3 linked regions of the Astyanax mexicanus genome follow. The protein of the gene in region 3 purifies or fractionates together with the protein of the main gene of each other region. This does not show direct contact. Links are inferred from orthologs where the notes say so. Each region holds a gene or a part of one and is shown on either strand. Other genes may lie near its edges.

What was found.
Region 1: the proteins of epidermal growth factor receptor (region 3) and uncharacterized protein LOC103043983 purify together in Homo sapiens (affinity purification with mass spectrometry; 4 studies listed by BioGRID and IntAct, with this or other methods). This does not show direct contact. The link is inferred for Astyanax mexicanus from reciprocal best matches to the Homo sapiens genes EGFR and EMD.
Region 2: the proteins of epidermal growth factor receptor (region 3) and pex19 purify together in Homo sapiens (co-immunoprecipitation; 3 studies listed by BioGRID and IntAct, with this or other methods). This does not show direct contact. The link is inferred for Astyanax mexicanus from reciprocal best matches to the Homo sapiens genes EGFR and PEX19.

What each region holds. Positions count from the first base shown.
Region 1 is NC_064419.1:7,954,576-7,962,793, reverse strand, and holds the start of uncharacterized protein LOC103043983, read right to left. Parts: upstream 3,316-8,218; 5' UTR 3,221-3,315; exon of another isoform or gene 3,085-3,220; intron 2,661-3,084; 5' UTR 2,657-2,660; coding exon 2,575-2,656; intron 639-2,574; coding exon 543-638; intron 215-542; coding exon 180-214; intron 90-179; coding exon 58-89; intron 1-57. Other genes in the region: soat1 (sterol O-acyltransferase 1), read left to right, coding at 6,891-7,011, 7,591-7,649. UniProt on the Homo sapiens protein: Stabilizes and promotes the formation of a nuclear actin cortical network. Stimulates actin polymerization in vitro by binding and stabilizing the pointed end of growing filaments. Inhibits beta-catenin activity by preventing its accumulation in the nucleus.
Region 2 is NC_064415.1:44,424,164-44,432,514, forward strand, and holds the start of pex19 (peroxisomal biogenesis factor 19), read left to right. Parts: upstream 1-5,036; 5' UTR 5,037-5,090; coding exon 5,091-5,139; intron 5,140-5,892; coding exon 5,893-5,987; intron 5,988-6,212; coding exon 6,213-6,375; intron 6,376-8,351. UniProt on the Homo sapiens protein: Necessary for early peroxisomal biogenesis. Acts both as a cytosolic chaperone and as an import receptor for peroxisomal membrane proteins (PMPs).
Region 3 is NC_064413.1:1,351,359-1,359,122, reverse strand, and holds the start of epidermal growth factor receptor, read right to left. Parts: upstream 3,332-7,764; 5' UTR 3,172-3,331; coding exon 3,096-3,171; intron 1-3,095. Other genes in the region: cavin4b (caveolae-associated protein 4b), read left to right, coding at 7,743-7,764. UniProt on the Homo sapiens protein: Receptor tyrosine kinase binding ligands of the EGF family and activating several signaling cascades to convert extracellular cues into appropriate cellular responses.

The DNA.
Region 1 (8,218 bases), on a different chromosome or scaffold from region 3:
CATTACATCAAAGAGCATTAAAGCAGGAGCTGGAGCAGAAACTTAAAACGTAATTACCTCCAATCACCTCCGTACCCCTCCTGCCTCAACTGTACCAACACAGAAAACAGTGAGATCATCCTCATCACCTCTTAGATAAAAGAGAACTGGTAGAATTAAAGGTGAGAGGTTTGACTTACCGGTCGGCGATAATGAACGTAGGGGTCTTTCTCCTCTGAAAGAGAGACAGACAGTTATTAAAGGTGTAAAACTGATTCAGAGCATTTTTACTAGGGTTCTCCTGATCTGATCCAGTGGATCAGGATTTAAAACACACAAATCACAGCAAATTCACCCTCTATAAACCAGTCATTATACATCTGTAGATCAATAAACACTTAAAGATCCATCTGATCAGTCCAGAGTGTGTACAACACACACATACACACAGAAAGTCAGTTGTCTGTGGTGCTTTAAAAGAACTTGGCGCTAAATGGTAAGCCTGGATTAAAAGATATTAAACACACTATACAACTGTAATTTTATAAAATTATATTTTTTACCTTCTCTGTAAAAGGTTCGTTCTGATGGACGTTTGACTTTTCTCTCTTTAGCCATGGCTTCTCTCAGCTTCTTCTCATACAGAGTCCTGGTCGTTTCTGACAGACCGTCACATTAAAAACTGTTATAATCTTTTCCTTTTATCCAGCACTGATTCATACTGTACGTTACGCCATTAATACACCCAGCAGGCTACTCCATTGTACACCCTACAATTTACCCTTTAATTCATACTGTACACTACACAATAACACATCGCACACTACCTTTAAATTCATACTGTATGCTGCCTCTTAATACATACTGAACACTACCCCCAAATTTATACTGTATGCTACCCCTTAAAACATACTGCATACTACCACTAAATGTATACTGTATGCTACCCCTTAATACATACTGCACACTACCACTAAATTCATATTGTATGCTACCCCTTAAAACATACTGCACACTACCCCTAAATTCATACTGTATGCTACCCCTTAAAACATACTGCACACTACCACTAAATTCATATTGTATGCTATAATACATACTGCACGCTACTCCTAAATTAATACTGTATGCTTCCTCTTAAAACATACTGAACACTACCCCTAAATTCATACTGTATGCTACCTTATAAAACATACTGCACACTACCCCTAAATTCATACTGTATGCTATCCCTTAAAACATACTGCACACTACCCCTAATTTCATACTGTATGCTACCCCTTAATATATACTGCACACTACCACTGAATTCATATTGTATGCTACCTCTTAATACATACTGCACACTACTCCTAAATTCATACTGTATGCTACCCCTTAAAACATACTGCACACTACCCTAAATTCATACTGTATGCTACCCCTTAATATATACTGCACACTACCCCTAAATTCATACTGTATGCTACCTTATAAAACATACTGCACACTACCCCTAAATTTATATTGTATGCTACCCCTTAAAACATACTGCACACTACCACTGAATTCATATTGTATGCTACCTCTTAATACATACTGCACACTACTCCTAAATTCATTCTGTATGCTTCCCCTTAAAACATACTGAACACTACTCCTAAATTCATACTGTATGCTTCCCGTTAAAACATACTGAACACTACCCCTAAATTCATACTGTATGCTTCCCGTTAAAACATACTGAACACTACTCCTAAATTCATACTGTATGCTTCCCGTTAAAACATACTGAACACTACCCCTAAATTCATACTGTATGCTTCCCCTTAAAACATACTGAACACTACCCCTAAATTCATACTGTATGCTACCCCCTAATACATACTGCACACCACCACTAAATTCATACGGTATGCTACCCCTTAATACATACTACTGCACGCTACCCCAAATTCATACTGTATGCTACCCCTTAATATATACTGCACACTACCCCTAAATTCATACTGTATGCTACCCCCTAATACATACTGCACACCACCACTAAATTCATACGGTATGCTACCCCTTAATACATACTACTGCACGCTACCCCAAATTCATACTGTATGCTACCCCTTAATATATACTGCACACTACCCCTAAATTCATACTGTATGCTACCCCCTAATACATACTGCACACCACCACTAAATTCATACGGTATGCTACCCCTTAATACATACTACTGCACGCTACCCCAAATTCATACTGTATGCTACCCCTTAATATATACTGCACACTGCCCCTAAATTCATACTGTATGCTACCTTATAAAACATACTGCACACTACCCCTAAATTTATACTGTATGCTACCCCTTAACTCATACTGTTTGCTACCCCATAACACACCACACACCACCCCTAAATTCACACTGTATTTTTTTTCCATAATACACACCACACAACCACAAAATTCATACTGTTTGCAATCACATAATAATATACTCTGTACACTTTTCGTTAATTTATACACAATGGTGTGAGAGGGATACTAAACTAGATCACTATAATAATGTTTTATTCATTAATAATAACAAATAAATAAATATTATTAATAATAAAAGCTTACCGACTACAGGACCATGTTTTATCCCGTAATCGTCCAACATCCAGCCGATCTCCTGATCACTTTTACTGCTCAGCATCGCCATCACTCTGTTATTGATAAGATATTTAATCAGGGATTGGTTTAATCAGTTATTGGTTTAGTCAGTGACAGTAATAAACAAAACTTTTATATAAAAAGAGATAATAGAAATGAAAGCAGCTGTATGAGCAGTTCCTCTTCCTCACTGTGCTTAAATTCACTTTCAGTTCACTTTAGACTAAAGGTTGGTTTCACTCTGTTCTGGGTGGAGACTCTCTACTGAAATTAATAAATAGTTCAGGACTGTTATTAATCTCTGTCCGAAAAATTAATCCAAATCTCCTATTCTACAAACGCAGACCTTCACAGACTCTGAATTTCCACAAATAAACCCTGTAGAGTCTCCTCTCACCCACAGAGTCTCTATTATTCACATTAATATTACCACCGATCCTCAACACTGACTATACTAAACCCGTAAACAACACTCACTCACACAGCTACAGTTCTACAGCCCGCGGTTCGGTTCGGGTTAGAGTTCTACAGGCCGCGGTTCTGCAGTTGAAGGTAATAAATGTATTTCTCTCTGTAATTATCTGAACATTCTCTCAACTGTGATTAAACTCACGCTCTGAACTCCTGCAGCTGCTGCAGTACATAAACAAACGCTCTTCCGCTTCCAGGCGGAAGTGATGCAGTTACTGTGGTTAACAGCGCTAATGCTAAAGCTAATGCTTTAATTCAGAGTTTTATTCCTTTATTATTTCTTTCTCAGCTTTATTCTTAAAAAAATGAATGTAATTGAAAAGTTACTTTATTTCAGTTAATCGCATATATTATATAGATGTATTACACACAGAGTAGGCTAATCTTTTAAGCATTTATTTATTTTATTGTTGATGATTATGGCTTACAGCCAAAGAAAACCCAAAAAATCAGTGTCTCAGAAAATTAGAATATAATATAATACAAATTGGTACTTTTTGTCAGTGTGGGCAGTGTTCCAAATCCTGCTGAAAAAAATGAAAGCCGCTTCTCCACAAAAGTTGTTAGCAGAGGAAAGCATGAAGTGCTGTAAGATTTTCGAGAAAAACATTGCATTAATAAAATCATTAAAATCATCCTGAATATATTGCTCTGTGTGTAATATATCTAAATGATATTATCTATATAAAATGTGAAACTATATAATAGTTACTGAAGTATAATATTACTTCAGTACTATCGACTTGGCCAGGATATTCCTTAAATTTTAGAAAGTATAATGTATTTTTGCTAAAATAAATAAAAGAAAGAAAACTTACCTATATATTTTATATGTTTTTCTTCAGAAAATTATGTATTTTGGTACTGAAACATGTGACATTGGTCTGTGTTGAGAAAATAAGAACTTGTTCAGTATGAAAATGAAATGAATATTTATAAACTCAATTTCTCCATATAAACCGTTTATTTCGGACTCACTCTAGTGCACCCTCTAATGGTCAAACAAACCTGGAAGAGATTCTCAAGTGGGAAGTCTCACATTAGGGGGTTGGGGATGAGTTGGGGAGCTAGGTATGAGTTGGAGAGTTGGGAATGAGTTGGATAGTTGGGGTTGAGAGTTAGGGTGAGCTGTGGGGAGATGAAGATGAGATGGGGAGTTGGGGATGAGATGGGAAGGTGAGGATGAGTTGGAGATAAGATGGGTAGTTGGGGATGAGGTGGAGATATGGAGATGAGTTGGAGATAAGTTGGGGAATTGCAGATGAGATGGGAAGTTGGGGTGGAGTTGGGGATGAGTTGGAGATTTGGCGATGAGTTGGAGAGTTGGGGATGAGTTGGGGAATTGCAGATGAGATGGGAAGTTGGGGTGGAGTTGTGGATAAATTGGATAGTTGGGGAAGAGTTGGAGATTTGGCGATGAGTTGGAGAGTTGGGGAAGAATTCGAGATTTGGCGATGAGTTGGAGAATTGGGGATGAGTTGGAGATTTGGCAATGAGTTGGAGATGAGATGGGGAAGAGTTGGAGGAATTGGGGATGAGATGGGAAGTTGGGGATGAGGTGGGGTTAAGTTGAAGAGTTGGGAATGATTTGGGGGTGGTGATCATTAAAAATATCTTTACTGTCATCACTATCTCTCAGTTCCTGTGGTTGAATGCAGTTTAATCCTCACAGCAATGCTCTTCTCCAAAAGTTTGTAAACATCTTCTCACTTTGGACAGTGGAGGCAGTTACTCCAACAAAAACAGAATTGTATTTTTCTTTTTTTTGACTTGAGAAGAAATAATGAATAAATAAATGGTCAGGTGTCCCAAATACATTTGGACATATGGAATATAGTGTATGTTTCATGACGTCCATATGTCAAATCTAGAGTCTCTGTTCAAAACAATTCCAGTGATTGGCACAAATCCTGTCATACAACCTTATCGTAGCCAATCGGAGCGGACAGTGGGAGCGTCACTCAGCTGTAGCCCCGCCCACTGTGCAGAACGTCTTCCTTATCATGAGGAGGTTCAGCAGCTGATCTGCTCGGTTCTCCAGCCTAAACAGATTCTCAGAGAGATCCAGAACCTTGAGTAGGTGTGGGACGATCTGACAGGTGAGTTACATCATGTTCTTTTTGTTTATAAGATCAAAGGCCGGGAGAAGACCCAGCGCGAGCACTTCGTGCAGCTTCAGATCAGGGTTCCAGAGCCCGCTCAGAACCCACAACATCTCCAGACTGCGCTTCTGTCTGCAGAACCTGCTCAGATTTTTTTTTACTAATCCTCAGTGAAATTAAGTAGATCTAGGACCTAATTTGTGACGACATTTTTATACCACTTTGATCCTCCACAGACAGGTGTGTGAGATCATGCTTTGATGTTTTTATTGATGTTAAAGAGTGTGGCTCGAGACAGAACAGAATGAATAGAATCACAATGAAGTTTCAGTGTTTCAGTATTTTATATTAGAGACGCACATAACATTAAAAGAATCATCCATAACATTAAAAGAATCATCCATAACATTAAAAGTATAGATCCCCCAAGGTGGCAACAAAGTATAAAGCAGACCTTAAAAGCTATTAAAAGTATTTAAAAAAGCATTCTGTATATTTGAATTAAATAAACCCGATTCTGGATAAACTTGAAATATGTAATGGCATAATGCACACATTCAAATTTTAACAATGCTTTTTTTTTGTGTGTTTAAAATGTTTAACCTTGTAAAGTAAGTTTGCTATTGAAAACATATACACTTTGAAATAATGACTGATTTTCAGATTTAAAAAAAATTATTTCACGAACTGATGTTTGACTCCTGGCCAGAATTTGTATTTCATTTTTTTTAAGTTTTAAAATGTATGGATCAGATTTTAAATTTGAAAAAATATATACAATTTAGTTTATTTTGTCATTATTATTATTTTGTATAATTTATAAACTGGAATTTATTTACAATTTGTTTTGAACTTGTAACTTGTTTGCTGTAGAAAAAAATACATTTCAAAATAACTTAAGATATACATATTCATATTTATATATATTTAAATCTATCTACTAAATGTCTAAATTCACCTCTGGCTTTAGCTAGCATTTCTTTTTTAATAAAAACGATTTGCATTTATAGATTATATTTTTTTTTTATCTGACAATGTAAAAATAAATAAATAATTAAGTGTATTTTTCAACAGCAAATTTCACTACTTTTATATTTATTCTAATGTCCATAATTTTCCATATAATGTGTCATGATGACTGGGGCTGCAACGGTTAGTCGATATAATCGGCAGTATCGATTATTTAAAATTTGTAAGCTACAAATTTCATTGTCGACTAATATTTAAAATTTCATGTTTAAACAACATCTGGACATTTAAATGGCTTTTAAATCTTATGCTTAGCTGTTTCTATTGTTTTTAGCGACGGAGAACATGGCAGGAGAAATTGGTGACTAATCAACTAATCGGTAAAATAATTGTCAGATTAGTCAAGTACCAAAATAATTGTTAGTTGCAGCCCTAATGATGACTGAAACTTTTTCACAAAAGTATATAGAAATAATTAAGTTGTCTTCAATAAATAGAGGTAAAATATAATATAAATGCTCAAATAGAAAGACAAAGATACCTTTTTTTTTATATATACATACATTGACTACATTGACTAAATTGACTAAATGTAGCATTGTAACAGAAAAAAGAATTCTGTGAAATATTTGCCCAGCTAAAGCTGCCCTAGCCAACTGTAAGTGCAATAATAATTGAACCACAAGGCAGTAGATCAGGTTGAAAGACACAAAATCCTTCCTGTCTTCCAGCAGCAGGAAGATGGAAGATGAAGATGAGATCGAAGGTCGAGCGACAAAAAGAGGCTTCCACAAATTAACAAGATCAAAAGAATCGGACAGCACAGTGAACCAGAGGGACCTGCACAACACCAACGGTAAAGGTAAACTACACCAAACTACACACCACCATACAATACACTACACTATACTATACACTACACTACACCCTACTATATCAGACTTTTATCCGATTTTCTAGATGTTCTGCAGATGTTGTGTTGTTCTGAATCAGCACACAGCAGTGGAGTACTAGCAGAGTATGAATATATCTGTTTTCTGCAGTTCTCTGTGTTTTGGATGAATTCCAGTTTAAGTCACTTACTGCAGAACAACAGCAGCACAGTTTTAAACAGTGTGTATTGTTGAGGAACGCAGTCTGGACCTCTGTTAGAAATGTTGTGACCTGTGTGGGAAATGTATCTGGGCAGGTCAGAGTGCCCTGTGCTGTAGGTGTCGTCCACCAACCATCTGCCAGTGCTGCTACTGTAACCAGTGCAAATATTTGACTGGTATTGTACTGACTTGTTGACTCATATATTGGCCATATATTAATCGTGTGGTAACCTAGCAACAACACAGCATGTGTTTGTGGTTACATAAGAGCAGAAATCAGGAACACTGTTCATCCTGCTGAATAAATACTGATTCATTGATTGATTTGTTCTTTCTGTTTGTTTTAGGAAATGTGGAGCTGGACCATATTCTTCAAAAGAGGCTCCTGCTGAGGAGAAAAGTTCAGGTGACCGAGTTTATTCTGTTTGATTGCATGATTTGTGCCAGAGTGTTACATGAATTACATCACTGTTACCTGATTTAGATCAGAGTGTTATGTTGTGCAAGAGAGGATTTGTGTCCTGTAAATCTGCAGGACTTGTTGCTGAAATCATGATTAACACAGTTTTCCCGTCTATAAAGGACAAAATTGCATGATGTGATTGTCTCACTTCAGAGGAAACGTCTGTTGCAGAGTCACATGTCTGAGTCACATGTCACTCTGCAGGATGAGTTATAGTGTAGAATAATTCAGATCAGTCAGGCCGGGGTTAAATCAGCTGAAAGTTCAGACTGGATGGGGAAGTTAGTTGTAAATTCCATGATTACTCAAGTTATTTAGAAAGATCCACCCTGTGTGCTCATCACTACCGCTGACATCTGACTCAGGCTGTTCAGAACATTTGGGTCGAAGGTTGAGAGTGACGGTTCTGTCCTGATTTTTATTTTACATAGTCAAGTCAAGCCTAGAGGCTTTTATTGGCATTACGTCTGGGTACAGGTACACAGTGTAACAAAATGACGTGTGTGTAGACT
Region 2 (8,351 bases), on a different chromosome or scaffold from region 3:
GCCTATAAGGAGGCTAACAGGAGGTTAAAGGACGTTTAAGCACACAAAGAATAACATCATTAAAACAGATGTAACAACTAACGTGCAACATTTAACTAGCTGACACTTCTGTTGCATCTAGAATGCTATTCTAGTGCACACTTGCGTTCTTAAACTGCATTGATCAGCTACTGTTTACAGCAGAACACTAACAGTTTGTGGGACACTGCCCAATAAAAACTGTCTGCATGTAGTAAAAGCTCAGCTAGTGTGTTTCTTAAGTACAGGTATATTAAAGGTAGAACAGTTAAAATAAAGCTGGGTCGTGGTAAGGACCTGGGGATTTAATATGAGTCATGATGCAGAGGATACGATTAAATATCTTGATACATTGCAACTATAAGCACTACATCATATACTGATTAAAAATAAAATATTAGGAAAACTGTCTAATGTGAGTAACAACAGGTAACTTTTTATACAATTAGAACAAAGGGACCTGAAGGCAGAATACAACACTATTGTTGTATTGGTGTTATCGAGTGGGAGGGGATTAAAAACACCAATCTTAACACCTAAACTTTTAAACATACATCTGATAAACATACTGTGTTTTGGGAACTGATATAGTACTTAAAAACATTGCATTGTGACACTTCTAGGCCTGTCACTATAATAATTACATTAACAACGTATACAATCAATGGAGATTTCAACAAAAATATTTGATGTAAAACACGTGTATGTTTGTTCACATATATAACAGTGAACAACATTTTAGTTTTGTCATGCAGTGACAAATGCTTCAATAACTCATACACACAGTGTGGACTTCAGTAGGTAAGGAAAAAATATAGCTGCATTTCCCATACTTGTTTCCCCAAACTAGAACACTATGTTTGGTGTAGGACTATGCTTAAAGCAAAGCACGTAGATTATTAATTTAACTAGTTAGTTAACTATTTAGCTAACTATAACGTTTCCCCATTTTAAAATGTCTCGCTGAAGAGTACAAAGACGTTACAAAAATGCTGCGCTAGTTCACTCTTGTTTAGTTAGGTTAGCTACCTAGGTTACCTAACCTAAAACACGTTGGCTCGTGTGTATTACTGTACTGTATGACTTTACTAGCTTGCGTTTAAGTAAGTGCTCAAGTGCACACTCGATAGCGGACCCCGGTGGGCGGGCAGCAGGGTGCTCGGCGTCTGAATGCTGCAGGGTGAGCGGGAATATTGGAACGCTGCCACTCTATCGCTACAGTTTCGGTTCATAAACCGCCTTGCCGCGGGTCAGCACCCGAACCTACCGACCAACCTGCCTGTTTACGCGCTCGGCTGGCCGGTCCGCGCCCCCCCCTCGGCCGCTCAGCGCTCTCCTCCCCAAAACCGCGGAGCTTATTTTCACGGCAATCCGCCGAGTCGCACCGCATTTTCCGTCTGCGTTCAAACTCGAGCGCGCTGCCCGCGGCCTGGTTAACACCACAGGCCTCAGAACGCATGGTCTCTGCGGGGCTGTACACAGATTTGAACCCACCTGCACTAAAACTCGGGTCTAAACTGTGTTGGAAGGTTCGGGAGAGTGTTCAGAACCGCTTACCGACTGCCCCGCAGCTTCAGCTGAGTCTCAAAGCGAGCTGTTGAGGGTTTATCCGCAGCGGAGAAATCCAGCCTCGCCGAACGCAGCGCAGAAAACCAGCAAGAACACCTGACCACACCCACCTCACACATAAACCCCGCCCGCAGGCTGCCCATTCGCGGCGTGTCTCGTCACTCAAACGAAAAGCGCGCATAAGTCCCACCCATGCACAGACACTGACCAATCCTAGCCTGGCAACTGTTGCTAGCTTCCATACTAAAAGTAGCTACCCGCGCTAGTTAGAGCTAGCGTTAGCAACGCAAGTACTGTGAATTGGGCAGCTACACCTTCTGCGGTTCTCACAAACACAATTAAATTATACACAACACAGTGTAACTCCAAGTCAACCACACTTTTGTAAAATCAATATGTCCAGTTAGAAAGCAACAATGATTGTGAATCAATTTCACTTGTTATTGTGGAAATGTAACAGACAAAAGGTAGAAATAAGAGACAATTATCAAGACAACCTTTATAAAGGAGTGGTGACCACAGACCTTTTTCTCTGTTCTCATCCTTTCTGGCTGATGGTTTGGTCACTTTTGCATTTTGTCAGTTCTCTCACCATAGAGGTAGCATAGGCGGAGTCTACAAGTGGCTCAGGTAGTGCAGCTCATCCAGGATGGCACATCAATACAAGTTGTGGCAACAAGGTTTGCTGTGCCTGTCAGCACAGTGTTCAGAGCATGAAGCAGATACCAGGAGACAGGCCAGTACACCAGTAGACATGGAGGGGGCTGTAGGAGGGCAACACCCCAGCAGCAGGACCGCTACAGGAGGAGCGGTGCAAGAGCCCTGCAAAATGACCTCCAGCAGGCCGCTAATATCCATGTTTCTGCTTAAACTGTCAAAAATGAGGGTGGTATGAGAGCCCAATGTCCACAAGTGGGGCTTGTGTTTACAGCCCAACATTGTGCAGGGCGATTCGCATTTGCCAGAGAACACAAAGATTCGCCATTGGCGCCCTGTGCTCTTCACACAGGTTCACACTGAGTACGTGTGACAGACGTGACTGTCTGAGTCTGGAGACGCTGTGGAGAACGTTTTGCTGCTGCAACATCCTCCAGCATGACTGGTTTGGCAGTGGGTCAGTAATGGTGTGGAGAGGCATTTCTTTGGAAACATTAGATGCTTTTCCACCGGCATGGTGCCAGTGCTGGTGCCAGGTTCCCGAAACGGTTCTTTGCGTTTCCACTGCAAAAACAAATTCTTGGCCAGAAAAGCCGGTTCCGTTCTGGCCCCACAATCTTGCTGGTCTGGAACCATCGAACCTGTGACGCGAGCAGCCAAAGGGCGGGGCTCTGAAGCATCTCCAGGACAAAGTTGTTTACAAACCTCACCTCAATTCACAGCTAAGAGCAGTAGAAGCAGCTAAATGAATCTAAAGTGAGGACAGCAGCACAAGTTTTAAAAGGAGCTCGGGTTCTGCTGTGTTGTTTTCAAAAAGCCCCCAACTTCTGTTTACGCCCACATTCACATAAGTAGTAAGTGACCCCTTAGAGCAGAGGAAACACGGGCCGGTCCTTAAAAGGTTAGCAGGAACCGGCTCCGGCACCAGCACTTTGTAGGTGGAAAAGAAGTAATTGATGCTACGGACTGGCCTGCCCGTTCCCAGACCTGAATCTAATTCAGCACAACTGGAACATCACGTCTTATTCCATCCACCAACGCCACAGTCCACCACAGACTGTCCAGGAGTTGACTGATGCTTTAATCCAGGTCTGAGAGGAGATTCCTCAGGAGAACATCCACCGCCTCATCAGGAGAATGTCCAGGAGTTGTGGGAGGTCATACAGGCACATGGAGCCACACACACTACTGATCCTCATTTTAACTTATCTTGAGGAATTTCCACTGAAGCTGGATCAGCCTGTCATTTGATTCTCCACTTTGATTTTGAGTATGATTCTAAATTCAGACATCCATGGGATAATAATTCTGATTTACATTGATACTTTTTGTGTTATTTTGTTCTCAACGCATCACACTATAATAAATACAGATTTTCAACTGGAATATTTTATCTAGGATGTGTTATTTTAGTTTTCCCTTTATTTTTTTGAGCAGTGTATATAATATCCTCTCATATAAATAATACACAGTATTCAGGGCTAATAGTTTAGAATTTCTCCTGAAAGTAAATTAGCTGTTATCCATGGCTGTTATTCTAAGTCAAATCTGTGCAGTTTAATGCTATAATGTCAGAGGAAGATCTACTTTTTAATTTTTTTGTAAGAGCCACACAAGATCTGGTGTGGTTCTGCTGCAAGTGAAGACTGTCAGCAAGACCAGGCTCAGCTGTATCTCCAACATGCCTAATAACACATTTGTAATAAAAAAAAACTTGAGGGTTTTTTAGGGTCTTTTGGGTGTATGTTTTCACTTATGGAATTTTATTCATTTATGCCAGTCTGCTTTACCTTTGTATGTTGTCAGAAACCATTTTATTTGACTGGATAAAAAAAACAAGATGAGAATAGTATAATTTATACATTTTGATATATTCAGTTTTATAAGGGATAAAAATAATAAAATGTGGTATGTGATTTTTACATAAAGTTTCACATATGCATATACAGTGGTGTCAGAAAGTATTTGCCCCCTACAGATTTCTTGTGTTTTTGCCTTTTTTTTTTGGCGTACTTACAGCTGAGCTCAATTTTACTAGCCACAACCAGGCCTGATTACTGCCATACCTGTAAAATCAAGAAATCACCTAAATAGAACCTGCCTGACAATATGAATCAGCTAAAAGATCTCAAAAAGTGTGTTTGGGCTCTGCAGCAGGACAATGATCCAAAGCACACTGACAAATCCACCTCTGAATAGCTTAAAAAAACTAAATGAAGGTTTTGGAGTGGCCAAGTTAAAGTCTGATTAAGATGCTGTAGAATGATCCGTTTTTTGCTTGAAACCCCCGCAATGTGGCTGCATTAAACAATTCTGTAAAGAAAAGTGGAACACAATTCTTCCACAGAGAACTCCCGGACCTGTTTTTTATATTCACTCAGGTTATCTTTGTCTTATAGTAAAGTGTGTTTAATACTTGGAAAAATTATTACAAAAAAAAAGCAAAAACAAAAGAAAGCTGGAGGGGGGCAAATGCTTTTTCATGCCACTGTGTGTGTATTTTAATAATACATTAATAATATAATAATAGAAAATATTTTTTTAAATTTACTTTTTATTGCAATTTAATAAAAAAAAGTATTAAAAGATCTTAGAAGAATAGCCACTTATAATAAACATATTCTAAACGTGTTTTTAAATGTAATGGGTTGTTTATATTTAATGGCATAAATAAAATCTTAGTAATATAACACATTTTTAAAACAAAAGAAAGCCTGTTTTTATTATTAAAACCTGCTGTTGAATATTGATTATTGGTCGTGTTTTGTGTTTTTTTAGGGGACTTTTACTGTGGCGGAGACGCCGCTGCTGCGTCACTTCGTCCCCGGGCTCAGTGCGGAGTGAAGATGGCAGAGCAGCAGGCCGCGGACTCGGAGCTGGACGAGTTACTGGACAGTAAGGACTGGGTTTACTGGGCAGCCCGGTAGGGTTTCTGTTTAGTGAGGGTTCAGAATAACACAGAGGAGTAAGACAGTGCGCGGCACTGAAATATCTGGTGTTGTTTTACCACTAAACTGGAGTTTATTTAAATAACTCGGTCCACCTTAAATAGTACAGCAGTTACTATACTAGTTTGAGGAATTAGAATAAAACTGCTTTATCATTTAAGGTGGACCGGACAGATTCAAGAACAAAGTGGAATTTCTCTTCTTTATCATGCAGTCAGTGTAAAAAATGGTCGCATACACGTTTAATTAGGTTTATATTGTTTATGAATCACTTTTATATCTACTGTAACTCAGGTTTACATGGATATTTAATTATAAATAGTATAAATGGTAAATGGTAATGTAAATGTTTACAAATCGTATTATTATTAATATTATTAATTTTTTAATTAGTATTATTATGGGCAACAGCAGTGACAGAGTGGTTCTAACATCTAACAGTAATAACTGTATGCTAGATAGACTACCAATAAATACATTACACAACAGTTTAACTATTTGTCCAGAACTATTCAGGCATCTAATGAATAATTTCATATATCCCAAGTAATATATAATAGTTGTCTGGATATATAGTAAACATAAGGCAGAATGTAATTGCTGTGTAATCTAAAGTATAACATTCATACCAAGTCATTTTTATTGTTGTTTTTTATTTTATTTTATTGTTTTATTATTAACTTGATTACTCCGTTCTTAGGTGCTCTCGATGACTTTGACAAGAACAGCGCGCCCCGTGCGGCTCCTGAAGCCGCTGCAGCTCCCAGTGAAGAAGCTAAAAGTGCAGGGCCAAATGTAAGGATCAGTTGTGTCATAATTTAACCTTTTGCTCTTTTTAAATATTAATGCCTTTAAATCTTCTGAATGTTAAAATTCTTATAATTTCATTTATACGTGATATTTATGTTATTGGGTCTTTCTTTTTTTTTAATTGACATTATTAGAACTCATGATTTTTTTTTTGTTATGTTATTCAGTGTGTATAAAACACTGACAGTTTGTGCTTGTGTGTGTCTGCAGCCCCCTCTGCTGGAAGACAGTCAGTTCTTTGAGTCTCTGTTTGAGGGGGAGATGGCCAATCAGGCAAAGGAGGAGTGGGAGAGGGCAATGGCTGAGCTGGCGCAGGAAGAGCCAGAGCTGCTGCAGCATTTCCATAAACTGTCAGAGGCTGCTGGGAAAGTCGGTACGTCTGCATGCATGCTGGATACCTGGAACTTTTTTGTTACCTTTGTTAACACACAAGTAGAATTGCTTCAGTACAACTGATTGCACAAACCCCACATCATTTAGTGCTCAAGTAGTACTGAACAGTGTTTATGAACCAGTCTGGTCACTGATTTAAAAACCTGAACTTCTGATTGTCTGTGTTACATTGGGTGTTCATCAGAATCTGTTGTGTAGTTCTTAAAGGGATAGTTCGGTATTTTTGACATGAGTCTGTATGGCATCATCATAACCAGTGTCGTGCATCCACACTGACTTACCCCCCACAGCGTCCTGTGAGCCGAGTTCTTGTCCAGTTTAGGTCAAAGCGAAAGTAGTCCGGCATGTTTGCTGGGGTCAGGAAAATAACTCCTTTTTCTTCCCAAAGCAGTACGTGTTCAAAAGAGTGATTTATTTACATCACAAAAAACTAACCCTGCAAAAGTCACGCCTCGTAAATCACTTGGGTCCTACTTTCTCTCGTTCCATATCAATGCGCGCAGCGCTGCAACCTGACAGCTAGCCTACGTGTTTGGGTCGCTTTGTTTACTTCTCGCCTCGAGAACATGTCTGACTACGAGAGTGACGAGGAAAACATTGATCACCGCTCAGAGCCACGGGGATATCTTTATGAACCCGAGTATACAGATGTTGAACTTCGCCAAATGGAATTAGATCGGGCAGAAAGAGAGAGGGTGGACAGAGAAGTGGTGGAAGATGAAACTGGAGCCACTGCTGGAGCTGCGATACCCAGGGTGGCCGACAAATCCTGGTGCACTTGTTTCAAGTGCGAAATAATGCAGACCGAGGTGGAATGCTACTGTTGCCACGAGTTAGTTATGCCCGAGATGCAAGACCTATCCATTGATGAGGATGTCAGCGGGGCAGCTGCTTGCATCACAAACAACAGTGACTTCCCTGCACTCCTGAATGCTGGTGTGTTGAGAACTTTTTTACGCTATGAGCGAATGCTGTAGAGAACATTGGTAGGCTACAGTTTTATTTACCTGGGGTGCAGGGACAGCAGATTTCTTCAGAATCCGTTTCTTCATCTGTCGTTGTCCAGGACATGTGGATAAAAAGTCATCATCGCTGAAGTGCGCACTGCAAACACGAAGCTTTTTTATTTTTTCCACTTTTGTGTCCACATGGATGCCCAGCGCTAGTACCCAAAGTTTCCTCAGAGCAACATCAGTCACAGGAAAACGATGAAAACTCTGCGGAGAATCAGCCACATCTTTGTTGCTACAGCCTGGATAGTCACAAGTCCGCACCATTTTAACACACACACACACACACCTAGCTATATATATATATATGTGTTTACAAAGCTTATAAAAGCCAATAGACTTCTCCCTAAAGTTAGCTCGTTTGCGTTGCTAGTCTGAACACAGCTGCTAAGCACTGCCAAAACACAGAACAAGTTGACGCGTGCGCAGCTCGCTGTCAGAATGACGCGCACTAGGGGTGGGCGATATGGCCCTAAAATAATATCACGATATTTCAGGGAAATATCGCGATAACGATATTTTTGACGATATAACAAAGATATTTTATTAATTTCAAGAAAACAGTATTGCAGAAAAAAAAATTATGTCTAAGCTTTATTTAGTATAAATGCATTTCACACTTAAATATTACATTTTTTTGCCTTTTCAAGACTCTAATGTAACAAATATCACAAACTCCTTAAAAAAAATTTGCATGATTTAAAATTTTACCTGCAACAAATTATACTAAAATATTCTAAAGCTTCAAAGTCAACAGAAGAACAAATATAAACTAAACATACAGATGACAAATATATATATATATATATATATATATATATATATATATATATATATATATATATATATATATATATGCAAGAAATTTTGAACATTTAACTCCACGGATATAGGGAATTATCATGTGATCTGTTTGATTTTCAGACGCTTTGGGTTGAGTGAGGAG
Region 3 (7,764 bases):
AATCAAATAGCATAACTAAGCAGAATGACTTTTAAAAATCGGCTTGAAATACTATACGGGTTGAACAATGAAACTGAAACACCTGGTTTTAGAGCACAATAATTGATTGTGGTGACGGACAGTTCTGGTGGAAACAGGAGAGTTGAGGTGCACATTGAATTCTGCGTGATTTGATCAGCCGTAGTTTTATGTTTTTTGGATACAATCCGGGTTATCACCCGAACATCCCTTTCAGACAGCTTCCTCTTACAGCATCCACAGTTAATCCTGTTGGATGTGGTTGGTTCTTCTTGGTGGTGTGCTGACGTTACCCTGGATACCGTGGCTCTTGATGCATCACAAAGTCTTGCTGTCTTGGTCACAGATGCTCCAGCAAGACGTGCACCAACAATTTGTCCTCTTTTGAACTCTGGTATGTCTCCCATAATGTTGTGTGCATTGCAATATTTAGAGCAGAACTGTGCTCTTACCCTGATAACTGAACCTTCACACTCTGCTCTTACTGGTGCAACGTGCAATTAATGAAGATTGAACACCAGGCTGCTCCAATTTAGCCATGAAACCTAAAATCCCGCACTAAAATGATGACAGGTGTTTCAGTTTCATTGTATAACCCCTGTAGATAAGCTGTATTATAGATGAGCAATGGCTGCAACTTCAGGTAGCTAAACAAATCCATTAGACTAATGGGCTTGTGACATCATGGGCCCTGCATTGTTTAATATCGCGATATATATTGTTCAAAATTATATTGTGCAGCCCTAGTATGTTCTTCACCCAGTAAATCAACTAAAATAAGCTATTTAATATTTAATATTGATATAAAGAACAATGGCGACAACATCTTTTCTGGGTTTAGTGAGAAAAGTAACAGCAGACAAACTCAAACCTGTTTCAGGGATTTAGCAGAAGAGATTGTGATGATTCTGCGTTACTGACCTCATTGATTGCACAAGAAAAAAAAAACAAAAGAACTGCTTTTGTACTAAAATAATAAGAGACTGTCAGAGTCGGGGCTTGACTCTACTTGTCTCGGTGCTCATTCTTAATAATGGTGAAATTCTGGCCCAGCTAAATATATTCCAGTAATCCAGATATCTGGGGTCATTTTCTCATACAAAAATAATGAAATAATCTCAGTAAACTTTTAGTCCAACATAACCAAAATCTGGGTCTGGTTTAGTTAAAATTTACTAGTTTTAACTTTATTCCTTAATAACAGCAATATATTACCGCTAATTCTTACTTTCTTTTTTCTTTTATCGCTATTTATTTATTTATTTATCTTTGTATATTTTTGGGAAGTAGAGGTGCGTAAATTGGTTTAAGCTGTATTTTTTAGAACTGAGCTTGATTGCTAACAGTATAAATGTCCAGGATTCCTCCATAATCAAAATAGGATTTCCTATTAAAAAAATGTTTATATAGCATAAAGCTCTGGAAAAAAAATAAGCGAGCTCTTAAAAATGATGAGTTTCTTTGATTTTCCCAAATTAAAAACCTCCAGAATATAATCAAGAGGAAGATGGATGATCACAAACCATCAAACCACCAAACTGAACTGCTTTTAAAAATAATTTTGCACCAGGAGTAAAGCAGCATAAAGTTATTAAAAAGCAGTGTGTAAGACTGGTGGAGGAGAACATGATGCCAAGAAAAAAAAACTGTGATTAAAAACCAGAGTTTTTCCACCAAATATTGATTTCTGAACTCTTAAAACTTTATAAATATTACATTTTTTCTTTATATAATTTGAGGTCTGAAACCTCAAATGTTGTCTGTAGTTTATAGAATAAAACAACAATGTTCATTTTACTCAAACATAAACCTATAAATAGCAAAATCAGAGAAACTGATTCAGAAACTGAAGTCCTCTCTTCATTTTTTACAGAGCTGTATATCTATGCCAACACCTTATTTCAGTATAAATGACTGGAAATAAATGAAGCTGGAAATGCGTAGCTATGTCTTATCTCTTCTATCTGTCACCCATCAGCACCACCTACCCCATTCAACCCCCCCCCCCCCCCCTTACCTCTGGTTTGCTTGTCTCTCTGTACCGGTTTAGTTTAAAGTATGTACAGCCATAGGTGTGTGTGTGTGTGTGTGTATATACATGTATATTATGGTTGTCAACATTAACACGTTAACGCATACAGGTAATCTGGAAACTTTAACACATTCCTTCTCTCTCTCTCTCTCTCTCTCTCTCTCTTTTTTAATGTAGAATATGGAGCTACATTAGTGTTTATTTTCTCCATTTCAACTCTCACAGTTAAACTCTGTAACTCAGAACATTACACTTTCTAGTTTAAAAAGCATAAAAAATTCCCTTAGATAATACAGTAAAACTACCCTGAGATATTATAATACCGTAAATAATAAGATCTAGTCTGCCACTTTATAACATTATTTCTTTTCCCCTCTTAAAAATACAGTTAAGTACCAGCATTTTAAAAAAAGGTAATCACAATTTTATCTGTGATTTATCCATTTTTAAGGGATTGGCACCAATAATACAAAAGTAAATGTGTCTAACATTTGAATCTTTTACTCGCAATTAAATACCCATTGTCTAAACTTAAGGAAGAAATTTAAGTGTGATTAACTGTGATTAATCACATTTTTTATCAAAATGACAGGGGATTAAATTATGGCCACATCCTGGACAATTATACTGTTAGTTATTGTAATAGCTGTAGATGATTTTCTTTGATTTTACCAAATTAAAAAAAAGAGGAAGATGGATGATCACAAGCCATCAAACCACCAAACTGAACTGCTTGAATTTTTACACCAGGAGTAAAGCAGCATAAAGTTATCCAAAAGCAGTGTGTAAGACTGGTGGAGGAGAACATGATGCCAAGATGCCAGATTTCCAGACCCATTTTTAAATGACATTTTTTCCCTTTTTGTTTAAGGACAGAGTGTACGCAGGCGCGTGCACAGGATATTATCATAACCATCAGCTGGAGCGCGCGCTCCTCGTCTTGTCAGCGCTTGCCTAAAACATAAAAAAGTGGATTTTTGCTGGCTGTTCTCGCGCTCAGGAGAAATAAAACTCTACATTTAATGAAGTAATTAAGTGAACTCACCTTTTCTCTCAGGTGCAGCGGAGCACGCGAGGCTTAACACGGCCAGGTAGAGGAGTCCTGCAGCGGCAGGTGACATTTTAATCAGGTAACTGCGTGTTTATCTGGAGGTGTCCTGAGCGCGTGCTTGGGGTGGTACTCCAGCAGGGCGCGCGCAGGGCGTTTGGAGGCGGCGCGCGGGATCAGCACTGCTCTACTGGTCAGGGCTGTTGTACGGGGCAGATGTGACGTGTGCCGCTCCAGAGGTGTAATCTGCGGGTTACTACAGCGCATGCGCAATAACAAACTGTCACTGTCCAATGAAAAACAAGTATCTCTATTTTTGTTGATTTTTAGTTTACTACAATATTTAAACAGATAGTCTCTAACACTGTGTCAAAATTTATTGATAAAAGAACCAGTAGAAATACTTAAAAATAACCTAAAATAAAAAATATTTAGAAAATTTAAAGTTGCTGTTTTTTAGATACTTGTTTTTCATTGGACAATGACGAAATACTCATGGAAAAGAGAAAATAGAGCAATGTAATTACTGACAGCTCCAAAACTTTAGAATAATCTTTCACTTTTTATAAAGAACTCAATCACAGTGGATATTTTTAACCTTCCTTTTATGTTCTGGGCAAATGAAATGTATTTGTTTTTATCTTTTTTTAGTACCTGCATGGGAACACCACTGCTGTTCACATTTGTTGATACGTTTGAAATAATTTTATAACATTTTGTTTTGTTTTCCTATTTTAAAACGGTATTGAAGGATGGAGAATAAACATGGCTATTCCTCTGCCAGAGACTATTTAAATCACCTTAAAATTCTAAAAAAAAAGTGTCTGGGACACTGTTTAATATGTATACTATACACTGAGAGTACCATTACATTATACCAAACAATAGATAATCTGTTTGTAAAGTGTAGAAAACACAAAATTAACAAAAATGAATTATATTTGATCTGTTTATCCTTTAAAATCAGTCATATCACACCTGGGCCATGTGCTAGTGGAGTGTGGAGAGTGACCTCTAGTGGTCGCTGGAGGAACAGCACACTCGAGGACGGTGTAGATAGATAGATAGATAGATAGATAGATAGATAGATAGATAGATAGATAGATAGATAGATAGATAAATAGATAGATAGATAGATAGATAGATAGATAGATAGATAGATAGATAGATAGATAACAAATTCATATTCATAAAGATTTAAGAGTTCAGAAATCAATATTTGGTGGAATAATCCTGGTTTTTAATCACAGTTTTTTTTTTTCGTGCATCTTGGCATCATGTTCTCCTCCACCAGTCTTACACACTGCTTTTGGATAACTTTATGCTGCTTTACTCCTGGTGCAAAAATTCAAGCAGTTCAGTTTGGTGGTTTGATGGTTTGTGATCATCATCCATCTTCCTCTTGATTATATTCCGCAGGTTTTTAATTTGGTAAAATCAAAGAAACTCATCATTTTTAAGTGTAGCCATCATGTTTTAAGCTACACATCAAGAGATAATTGTTGCCTCCCTTCAAGATAATGACTCCGCCTACTGCTTACATAATAAACAGTGCACACAAAGAACCACAGATCTCAGGAACCATTAGACCCAACTTAGACCTGAGTTCAGTGACTCACGCTCATCATCAGTCTGCTGCACGTTTACTGCAGGTTATGAAGCCAGGCAACCACCCTGCATTAATACAGAGCCGTAAAAGACATGTGGTTTCCAGGACGCTGATTAAGTCGAGTCAATAAAAGAGGAATTTTGATGAAACACTGGTTCAGGTCAGGATTAAAACATATTTTTTCCCAGAAAATGTTCCTGCTGCATTAGTTAGTTAGTGCAGCATTCATGCAGAAGAACATGGCTATCTTCTAAACAATAATAGAGTATTGGTATCAGACCCGTATCAACAGGGCAAGCAAACCAATCAATTGCCTATATAGGGCCCTGAGCTGACCTTTAGAATTTTTGTGTATTTTATTGCTAATTTCAAATTTTTATCTAATCTTCTTCCCAATTTACAAGGCCAATTACCCAAGAAGACCAGCACACGCCTCCTGCGACACATGTGAAGTCAGACTCCGCCTCTTTTTGAACTGCTGCTGATGCTGTAGCATTGCCGAGTAGCATCACAGCAGCTCTAACGCTGGGAATAAAGGGCAGCGACTCGGTTCTGATACATCAGCTCACAGACGCAGCCTTGTGCTGATCCACATCACCCTAGGAGTGATGAGGGTTAAAGAAAGAGCGCCATCTACTGTGAAAAACAGAATATGTTTTATTTAGTTAGATTGTTATTATTGGTAAAAAAAATAAAAAAAAAACACCCCCAAATCCTCCCCTGTTCCACCAATGACTGACTGCCCCTCATGCTGAACAGTATGACTCTCAGCAGGAAGTGCTGCTAGTTTAGTGGGTTTTAGTGGGTGTTGGGTCTTTAGGGAGTGCTAACTTTTAGCCTTAGCTTTTAATAATTGCTAAATTAAGCAGTTTTCCAATTGTATTAAATGGTATTTTATAGTTAGTTTAATTAGGCAGTTCTAGTACATACTGCTTTACTGCATTCAGAGTGTAAAAATATACAGATCTAAATATAACAAAGACAGAAGAGTTTAACATTGCGTATTTAACTCAATATGAGTTCAGTGATATTTAATTGATATGTTTTTTAAAATGCTCTAGTAAATATACATGTGGAAGCCGATTCCCTCTTAATATTAACTTTATAGGAGAGAGAAAAAACCTTCTTAACTTTTAATAGAAGTCAATGTAAAAAGAGTTTATTTCAGGTCATTTAGAAGAGTTTCTATTGGTTCGTTCATCAAGAAATTTTAGCACAGTGTAAGAGACAGTTTTGCTGTTCAAATTATGTAGTAAACAAAAAATCGACAAAAATTGAGATAAGTGTTTTTTACACTGGACAGCGAAGAAATATAAGCTGTGATTGGTCCAGTCAGAAATACAGTGTGTCACGTTTTTTCATCAACATCTAAAGATGTATTAATAAAGTACTGATATTAAATAAAGAATAAAGGATAAAGAATCGCTCACATGTAAATGAAGTAAAGCTGATTGGCTGTGAGAGAACTAGAGTGGGTATATGCAGGTCTTTTTTAAGACTAAGAATAGTCTGCAGCTGGTAGAATAATTTTAGATGGTTGGACAGTCCCCACCGCCCCAGGCAAGGTTACAACCCTTCAGGCAGGATCATCTTCCTCTGGTTGCTAAGAGATTTAATCCGACTATAGTAACTATAGAATCTGTTCTCTTATCTCTGTTGATCGATTGATGTAGTACTGAAAAGTATTTCTGTTAATAGCAATGATGCGCGACAGTATAGACAGTGTAGACTAATAGTCACTGGAGTATTTATATACTCCTTCAACTTTTTTACATTTTGTCTCAACCACAAACTTAAATGTGTTTTATTGAGATTTTAGAAAGTGGTGCATAATTGCGAAATTGGGGGAACAAAATTAAACGAAACACCCATGGTCACTCTGGAGGAGCTGCAGAGATCCACAGCTCATGTACAGATCAGGAGAATCTGCAGGAGAACTATAAGTTGTGCACTCCTCAAATCTGGCCTTTATGAAAGAGTTGTTGAACATTGTTGAAAGAAAGACGAAGTAAGAAGTGCCGTTTGCAGTTTGTAGCCACAAGCCATGTAGACGAACACAGCAAACATGTGGAAGAAGGTTCTGTGGTCAGATCAGACCAAAAAAAAAAGGTTTAAGGCTTTTTGGACTAAATGCAAAGCGCGGAAAACGAACACTGCTCACCATCCCCACTGTGAAACATGGTGGTGGCAGCATCATGCTGTGGAGATAAGCTTTTCTTCAGCAGGGACAGAAAAGATAGTCATAGTACAGGGCAATCCTTGAGTCCTTATTTTGCTATTTATAGGTTTATGTTTGAGTAAAATTAACATTGTTGTTTTATTTTATAAACTACGGCCAACATTTCTCCTGGCTGAGGGGCTGAAATAACAAATAAAAGATGCAGAGCTTTCAGACCTCAAATAATGCAAACAAAGCAACAAGTTCATATTCATAAAGTTTTAAGAGTTCAGTGGTTTTTAAACACAGTTTTGTTTATGCATCTTGCAATTATATTATTCTCCTCCACCAGTCTTACACACTGCTTTTGGATAACTTTATGCTGCTTTACTCCTGGTGCAAAAATTCATTCAAGCAGTTCAGTTTGGTGGTTTGATGGCTTGTGGTGATCATCCATCTTCCTCTTGATTATATTCCAGAGCTTTTATGATTTTTTTTTCCAGAGCTATATATATATATATAATTTGGGAAAGCACCAGTTTATTTGCATGGGCTGGCAGGGATTTACATCATAGCAGCTACATGCACGTCTTAAAATGTCAAAGTGTCATCTTTCAGAGGGATAAATATAACTGAATTCATGTGGCACCTCCTCTCTCTCTCCCTCTCTCTCTCTCTCTCTCTCTCTCTCTCTCACTCTTTGCTCTCTGCCCTTTCATGAGCTTCAGTCCATCACTGAAGGTCCAGCTGGAGGAAGAGCTCAGTGCTGAAGCTGATGAGTCCAGCTCTCTCCAGTCTACCCTGAACTTCACGCTCTGCTCTCCAGCGTCTCACCCCTCCAGGCAGGACCTCAGGCTGAACTCCAGCAGGGAGAAGGATGGCTGAGAAACAGACAGTAG